Linked DNA regions of Rattus norvegicus. The protein of the gene in region 1 interacts with the protein of each later gene in a pairwise test. Links are inferred from orthologs where the notes say so. Each region holds a gene or a part of one and is shown on either strand. Other genes may lie near its edges. The genes, in order: Apoa1 and Apoc1.

The links.
Region 2: the proteins of Apoa1 (region 1) and Apoc1 interact in a two-hybrid assay, tested with the Homo sapiens proteins (2 studies listed by BioGRID, with this or other methods). The link is inferred for Rattus norvegicus from reciprocal best matches to the Homo sapiens genes APOA1 and APOC1.

The regions. Positions count from the first base shown.
Region 1 is NC_086026.1:55,422,769-55,426,534, reverse strand, and holds Apoa1 (apolipoprotein A-I preproprotein), read right to left. Parts: upstream 2,591-3,766; 5' UTR 2,566-2,590; intron 2,369-2,565; 5' UTR 2,350-2,368; coding exon 2,307-2,349; intron 2,157-2,306; coding exon 2,003-2,156; intron 1,454-2,002; coding exon 871-1,453; 3' UTR 806-870; downstream 1-805. UniProt on the Homo sapiens protein: Participates in the reverse transport of cholesterol from tissues to the liver for excretion by promoting cholesterol efflux from tissues and by acting as a cofactor for the lecithin cholesterol acyltransferase (LCAT).
Region 2 is NC_086019.1:88,475,309-88,479,603, forward strand, and holds the start of Apoc1 (apolipoprotein C-I precursor), read right to left. Parts: upstream 2,998-4,295; 5' UTR 2,968-2,997; intron 2,913-2,967; exon of another isoform or gene 2,848-2,912; 5' UTR 2,830-2,847; coding exon 2,772-2,829; intron 2,429-2,771; coding exon 2,281-2,428; intron 1-2,280. UniProt on the Homo sapiens protein: Inhibitor of lipoprotein binding to the low density lipoprotein (LDL) receptor, LDL receptor-related protein, and very low density lipoprotein (VLDL) receptor.

The DNA.
Region 1 (3,766 bases):
AGTGTGTGTGAACTCAGGTCCTCAGTAAGTGCCTCTACCTGATGAGCCACCTTACCAGCCCAACGTAATAAAAGTCTTGTTTATTTTTAAAAAGGCACAGCACATCCTGACCCACCTTTCCTGCAGTGACTAACTTCAGACATCTCAGCTCGGCTTCCCCAGCTGTGGTGGACTTAAAGGTCATCCTTCAGGGTTTAGAGATGGCTATGAAGGCCTCTCTAATAAATGTGTGGCGATCAGCATCACGAAATGGGTTGTTCGTTTGTTTGTTTTTGCACCCAATTGGCAGGTAGAGAGGCTGCAGCCCTGAGGCATTCACAGCCCGCCAGTTTCTGGAGGTGTGTGTGTGGGGGGAGGAGGGGTAAAAGGGAATTGTTTGCTGAGAGGTTTGGGGTGAGTGATTGAGAGCCCGTTAGGAATCCTGGCTCCAGGGAGTGGAAGGGGCTCCCATCCTCTACCCCGCGGACTTCCATCCTTCCCCCAAACACTTCTAGCACAAGAAACCAGTCCTCTCAAAGCCAGTCTAATTTCCAGCCACTCCTAACCTGGTTCCAGCACTAGTGATCTGGGCCTCCGTGGGGCCCTTTGGGGTCTCCTTGTTGTTTTGCCTGGCTATCATTTCCCTCTGAGCCTTTCTTAGGAAGGGATTGTGTCTCATACTCTAAACCAGCCAGGTGCCCAGCTTGAGTGAGCTTGAAGAGCTGAGTAGCCCCGTACAAAGGAACCCTCACCGCAGCACCATGTTTCCATATCCCTTGATGTCCCCTTAGCGTCCTCCCTATGTCACCCAAAGAAAGAAGTCATTCCACTTTGGAAACGTTTATTGTAAGAAAGCCAATTCAGGGGTGGGGAGTGGTGACGGGCGCCTCACTAAGCGTTCAGCTTCTTTTTGGCCTCATCGATCATACTCATGATTTTGGCCTTCCAGGCTTCCAGCACCGGCATCAGGCCCTGGCCCAGGTCATCCAGCGCGGGTTTGGCTTTCTCACCAAGTGTCTTCAGGTGGTCGCTGGCCTTGGTATGATACTCGATCAGGGTAGGGTGGTTCTTGATCTCGGTCAGGCGCTGGGCCAGGTTCTCGCGCATCTGATCGCTGTAGAGCCCAAACTTTGCGCGCAGCGCGTCTGCATTCACACGCATGCGGTCTCGAAACTCCTCGGCCACAACCTTTAGATGCCTTTGCATCTCCTTCGCGTTTTTGTGAAGCTCGGTGCCCAGAGGCTCCAGCTTCTGGCGGTAGGCCTCGACCTCCTCGTTCCACTTCTCCTGGAATTCATCCAGGTGGGGCTGCATCTTCTGTTTCACATTCTCCAGGTCCTTGTTCATCTCGTTTCTCAGCCAATCTGTTTCTTTCTCCAGGTTAGCCCAGAACTCCTGAGTCACTGGGCCTAGCTGTTCCTGTAGGCGACCAACAGTTGAACCCAGAGTGTCCCAGTTGTCCAGGAGATTCAGGCTAGAGGGGAAGAGAGCAGCTGAGAGATGACCCCAGGCATCCTGCACTGCCCCTGGTCTGCAGATCCATGCACATGATACCTGGGGTCAGGCCTAGGTGCCACCTGTTCCAATAGTAGTTGCTATGCTCCTAGTTTCCCTGAACTCTATAACTCCCTATAACTCCCTTCCTCCCTTCCCATCCCTCTGTACACATGGCCTGAGGCACCAAGATCACAGATGTGGTTGGTGCCAGTTGCAAGGCCAGTCCCATTTTTGTTGTTGTTGTTGGTTTTGGTTTTTTGTCTTTTTTTTTTTTTTTTTGTGCTGTCTGACCAGTACTGGGGGTTACCAAGGAAAAGGGATTTTGAATCCACAGGCTGGTTACCCTACAACCAGATGAATCCCATCTCTAGTCCTCCCATTGGAATCCTCCATGGTGCCCAGCTGGTAGGAAAGCAGGTGAAGGTCTAGCCAGCTCAGTTACAGGATCTTCTTACAGGGTTCCTCTGCCCACCCTGGATGGGCAGCCCTTGCCCTGCTCCAGGACCCACACTAGGTCCTTCCTTACTTCAGCTGTTTGCCCAAAGTGGAGGATTCAAACTGGGACACATAGTCTCTGCCGCTGTCCTTGACTGCATCCACATACACAGTGGCGAAATCCTTCACCCTGTCCCATTGGGACTGGGGCTCATCTTGCTGCCAGAACTCCCAAGCTTGGCAACCTGAGGATGGAGAGGAGACCCATGTTAGGTCAACTCTGGGCTGGGGCCTGAGCTGACATGTCAGACTTGGAGCCTTGGAGGAGAGCAGTGGGAATTCTGTTCTCTGTGCCCAGGGAGGGAGTTAGTCCATGGAGACCAAGAGGCACCCACCTGTCAGGAAGACCAGGGCCACAGCCAACACTGCAGCTTTCATCCTGAAGGATGTGGGCGACCTGGAGAAGAAGAAGAAGAATGGCTGCACTGAAGGGAGGTGCTGCCATGGAGAGGTGCCACACACATTCAACCCAGTAGAAGAACTATCTGGAGTGGGGACAGATCCCAGATATCCATGGTATTGCTTTGGACAGTGGGGCATCCACTGGGAGGCATGAGGGAACTAGAGTAGCCTAGGGTAGGTAGCAGCACTTACCTCCCCCGGAGCTCTCCAACAGTCTGGGTGTCCAGGTCTTCTTCCCTGACCTATATATGTGTGTGGGCAGGGCCTGGGCTGGGAGACTGATAAGCTCAGGCTGGCCCTGTCACTGCTTACTTTTGCTGGCGATGTGGAACTTAGAGTTCAAGGATCAGCTCTGTTCCCGAGGCTAGGCAAACAGAGTGGGCAAACAGGAAGCTGCGGGGGCTGCAGAGCTGGGATCAAGGGTTCAGGTGGGGGCAGCGGGGAGTAGCTGCAGACTCCAAGGGTCCCCAGGGGGTAAGGCAGTTGCCCCATCCTGCGGTATATGTGTTCTTTTAGTTAGTCTCATGTAGTCCACTCCTGGGCTCCTCTGTGTTGCTAGTGCCCTGAACCTGGAGCAGGGTAGGAAGAGTGAGGAATTTTGGGCTCCTGAACTCACATCCCCGCCTCAAAGTTTCGTTGCATTCCAAGAGGTTCCCCCTTTCGCTTCACCCTGGTCTCCCGAGTTTGGGGATTCATCTCTCCAGATGTCACATCCCCAGCCTCCCAACCCTAAATCCAATAACAACCGAGGCATCAGGTAATTGACTAGGTGAAATGCAGGGGGCTCAGGCCCCCAGGCTGAGGGTGAAGACACCTCTGATGATTCAGAGGAAATGACAGAGGCCAACATGGAGTTGTCAGCTCCTTCCTGCTCTCCCTCCCAACCTCCCTCCTCTGTCCCTTTTGGAGACAAGGTCTTTCTGTGAAGCTCAAGCCTACCTCCAACTCAAGATAACCCTGCTTCATCCTTCCAAGTGCTAGAATGTGCCACAAGCCTAGCTTTAAAATATGCATGCCTGGTGTCTGGCTGGGGATGGAAACCTCGAAAATGCTAGTCAAGGAGTCTATGATTGATCTTTTTTTATCCAGACCTTAGAGTTGCCAATGTTTGTTTTTAAAGATTCATTTATTTTATGTACACGAGTGCTCTGCCGGAGGTTGAAATCAGATCCCATTGCAGATGGTTGTGAGCCACCCTGTGGTTGCGGCAACTGAACTCAGGACCTTTGGAAGAGCAGCCCTAACCTCAGTCTTAACCACTGAGCCATCTCTCCAGCCCTAGTTGCCAATGTTTTTGTTATGTGTAGAAGTTATTACTCAGCCTCCCTTCCAGAGACAACCTTACCATATACCATGACCACTAAAAGGGGTCATGTAATCAGTGAGGATATGT
Region 2 (4,295 bases), on another chromosome or scaffold:
TAGCTGACGTCAGAAACATCGGATCCCATCTCAGATGGTTGTGAGCCACCATGTGGTTGCTGGGAATTGAACTCAGGACCTCTGGGAGAGCAGTCAGTGCTCTTAACCACTGAGCCATCTCTCCAGCCCCTGTTCCTTTCTTTATCTCCCTTCATACTGTCTGTGGGATGAAAACCTCTGGTAAGTTCCCTCACACAGAGCAAAGAATTTGTGTGTGGGGTTTTAGAGACAGGGTCTCATATAGCTCAGGCTAGCCTTAACCTTGATATGTAGCTAAGGATGATGACCGATGATGACCTTGAACTTCCAATCCTCCTATCTGCATCCCTCAAATGCTGGTGTTGGGGACCAAACTATGGGGTTTGGAGCACTCAAGGCAAGCGCTCTACCCACTGAGTGACATCCCCAGCCCAGATGGGGCACTGTGAAACAAAAACTCAAAAAACTTCATCTTGACCTGGCTTTCAAAGCCAGCCACTGTGGGGAGGTAGCTAGCAGGTGACTATAGAGGATGAAGGACAACCTCAGGTCTTCCTCAGGTATGTCCCTGATCCAGGCTCCTAGCATAGCCAGCCAGCTGGCTAGCTTACCCCAGGGTCCATCTGATTGTCCTAGCTGAAGCCAGGGTTCTCTCTGTCCTCCCCATCAGTGGGGTTAAAAGCATGCAGCACCGGGGCTGGGGATTTAGCTCAGTGGTAGAGCGCTTACCTAGGAAGCGCAAGGCCCTGGGTTCGGTCCCCAGCTCCGAAAAAAAGAACCAAAAAAAAAAAAAAAAAAAAAAGCATGCAGCACCATACTTCTCTCACTCACGATTTTGTTTTGTTTTGACACAGGGTTTCTCTGCATAGCCCTGGCTACCTCTAACTAACTCTGTATCCTTGAACTCAGAGATCCGCCTGCCTCTGCCTCCGCCTCCGGGGTGCTGGGTTAAAGGCGTGCACCACCACTGGCTGGCACTTATACATTCTCTTGAAGTCTTGTTTTGTTCCTGTATCTGTGCTCTGGTGCCTGCAGGTCCAGGAGAGGGGACTGGAGTCCTTGGAGCTGGAGTTACAGGCCACAGTGAGCTGTGCTGACATAGGTGCGTGAGTGTGGGGGAGACACAGAACCCTGGTCCTCTGCAAGAGCAGCACGTGCTCTCTTAACCGAACCCTGTGACTAACTTTTAAGATGTAGATTCTGGGTATCAACTTCAGATACTCACAGGCATTTTAGGCACTGAATGATCTTTGATCTTTTCTCAGTCTCCCTCCTCCTTCTCCTTTTTTTAAAAGTTTTTTTTTAAAGCTTGTTTGTTTTTCTTTCTTGCTGAGATTAAAAACATGTGCAGCTGCACCTCAGAAGCCTTGCCATCTCCTGCTTCCCACCCTCTCCTTCTCTAGCCTGTGCTTGCCCAAGCTGTCTCCACTCATCCTGGCCTGTCCTTGGCCCGAGTTCTAAGCCGATGTCTAGAAGGCCATTCTCTCTTATCTACAGATCTTCCCGCCCCAGGGCCTTTGCACTTCCTGGCCAAGTTTAAGTCTGGCTGGATATTCATAATCAAAATCAGACCTTTAACTTGTCTACTTGCCAAATTGGCTAACCAACCTGTTTACAACATACCAAGCGCCTCTTGGGGTGTCTGTCTTCACCTCCTGCTTTTTCGTTATTTTTTTGTTCCTCATTTTTAGTCAGAGGCTTGCCCTGTAACCCAGGCTAGTCTCAAACTCCTGATTCTTTTCCTTAGCCTCCCAATTTGCTGGGGCCTTTTTTGTTTGTTTGTTTGTTTGTTTGTTTGAGACAGGGTTTCTCTGTATAGCCCTGGCTATCCTAAACCTAGCTCTGTAGACCAGGCTGGCCTCAAACTCAAGAGATCTGCCTGCCTCTGCCTTTCCAGTGCTGGGATTAAAGGCGTGCACCACCACAGCCTGGCTGCTGGGATCTTAGCCAGCCCTAATCTCTCTTTGGCCAGTCTAAACTGCAGAGCTGCGGCCTGCACAACTCTGGCTGTGACCCTGCCCCAACTCTCCTACATTCTTTCTCTGTCCCAGGGGATCAAAGTCATGTCCTGTCTCAAGAGTACACAGGGAAGGGACAAGGTCTACCCTAACCAGTCACTACAATCATCTCTAACAGACAGACAACTAGGTGTTACTAGGCGTCAATCACTCTGCTGCTGTTTCCACATTGTGTCAGTGTTGGGACGGGACACACACACACACACACACACACACACACACACACACACACACACACACAGAAAGAAAGAGAACATCCGCCCGTGCCCTGAAAGGTCCTAACCGAGTCTTGATCATAATTTCCTTCTGTTTGATATGCTCAATGGCTGCCCGGGCCTTATCTTCCAAAGTGTTCCCAAACTCTTTTAGTTTATCCGGTAAGCTCTCCATTGCGCTGGAAAAGTCAGGGGCCGCCTGGGCAGGGGCTGGGCCTGCAGCGAGATGGTTGTAAGCAAACCCGTTAGCATTGGGGGAAGAGTATTGGACACTTATTTTTACTGCACTGCCCACCTCCTTGTTTTTACGCGCCACCCCTTCTAGGAAGATTAGCCAATCCCAAAGGGTCATTGGTTACTAAGGTCTTTTCTGGACAGACTTGCCTCCTGCAGCACCCACCTTGATAGAAAAATAAGGCACCTGGCCAATGGGTTGGGGGATGATTGGAGAGCGGTAGTGGAATGGTGACATAGAAAGGGACCTCAGAGCTCTCCCTCAAGAGTCCTCTAAGCCTGGGCCACAGGCCCAAGACCAACTTCAGACTTCCAAGCCTCTTACCTTCCAAAGCCATGGCTACGACCACGATCAGGACAGGAAGTGCGATGAAGAGCCTCATCCTGGCTGGAGGGGCACCCTGGAGGCAGACGCGCGCGGATAGGGGGCATCACTAGTACCCACCACCTCCCACCACTATGATCCCACCACCCCAATCCCTTATCTGTGGGAAGTGGGGAACACTTTCCCAGGCACTAACCTGGATCTAAGGTTCTCTCAGGAGGCCCGCAGGGGTGGGAGGATCCTGCACAGAGGTTTAACGGGTTGGGGAGGGGGCGGAGCAGGTTGATCGCCCTCCCCTTGAGCCTCCCCCTTGTCTCTGTGCCCACCTCCTTTTTTATTTTTATTAACAGAATTTTTGGCTGGCCTGGAATTTGTGATCCTCCTGCTTCTGCCTCTCTAGTGAGTGCTGGGATTATAGGCACCAACACAACCGACCCACCCTGTTCTGCCATACTGGTGGATACTGGGAGCCAGATCCCGGTCCAAACATTTTGTTTAGGCCTAAGGCTCCTCACTGGTCAGCACCCTCACTTCCAAATCTCACTGATCTTCACCCAGCCTTGGCTGCTCTACCTACTCACACTCTCTCTGAGGTTGTTCACCTTGGCGGGGTGTGTGTCTTACAAACAACTCCCCCCAAGCCCCCAAATCTTACCCCAGCTCACACTGCACCCTCAGGTTAGCTCTTCTCTACCCTGTCCTTGTCCAGAAGCCTCAGCTCACACTCTCTGTCCTGGATGCTGGGCTCTGGTTTCCTTCACCTCCAGTGCCTTTGTATCTGGAAACCCTCAGACCTCCTTTGATGCTCTCTAGGGTCTTTGACAGCCGTCATCTCCCTTCTTTACAAGTTGCCTCTTTAGCTAGTCAAAACTGCAGAGCCTCTCAGCTTGCAAAGCTCCACAGTGCCCCTGAACCAGCACAACCCTCACTCCCCTCCCCAACACTATTAGCTCTTGTTGGGCCTCCTAGGCCCCTCCAGATCTGAAGCCTGCTTCCCCGCCCCCTCCCTCCACCACATCCTTTCTCTCAGGCTACAGTCCAAGGCCCTTCCCTCCCTCCAGAGCCGTCAATGACCGCCAGTGACCCCCTGGCAGCTGGTGGCTAAGAGGCCCAGACTCTAGGTTGGCTGGCCTGGTGCCCCTGCAACCCACGTGTCAGCTGGGGGTGGGAGGATGGGGGCACAACAGGGGGATGGTTGTGAAAGGGGTAGAACAGATTCGACCCTGGCCGGGTTGCAACATCTCTGGGGCCAGCTCACAGCTTCCAGTCCCTGTGGGCGCCAGGCCTGACCCTCTTGCTTCTTGAAAGGAGTCCTGCTCAATCCTCAAGCACCCATCTGAATAATGTAACAGATGTCCCCCTTACTCTGCCCGGTGCTTCCTATGTCCTTTCTCTTAGCAACGAGAGCTTCCTGTACCACAGGTAGGGTAATGGGAGCACAGCTAAGGTCGTTAAATTACTAGTCGTTCAACTCTGATTTTTTTTCTTTCTTGTTTTGTCAAGATAGGGTTTCTCTGTGTAGCC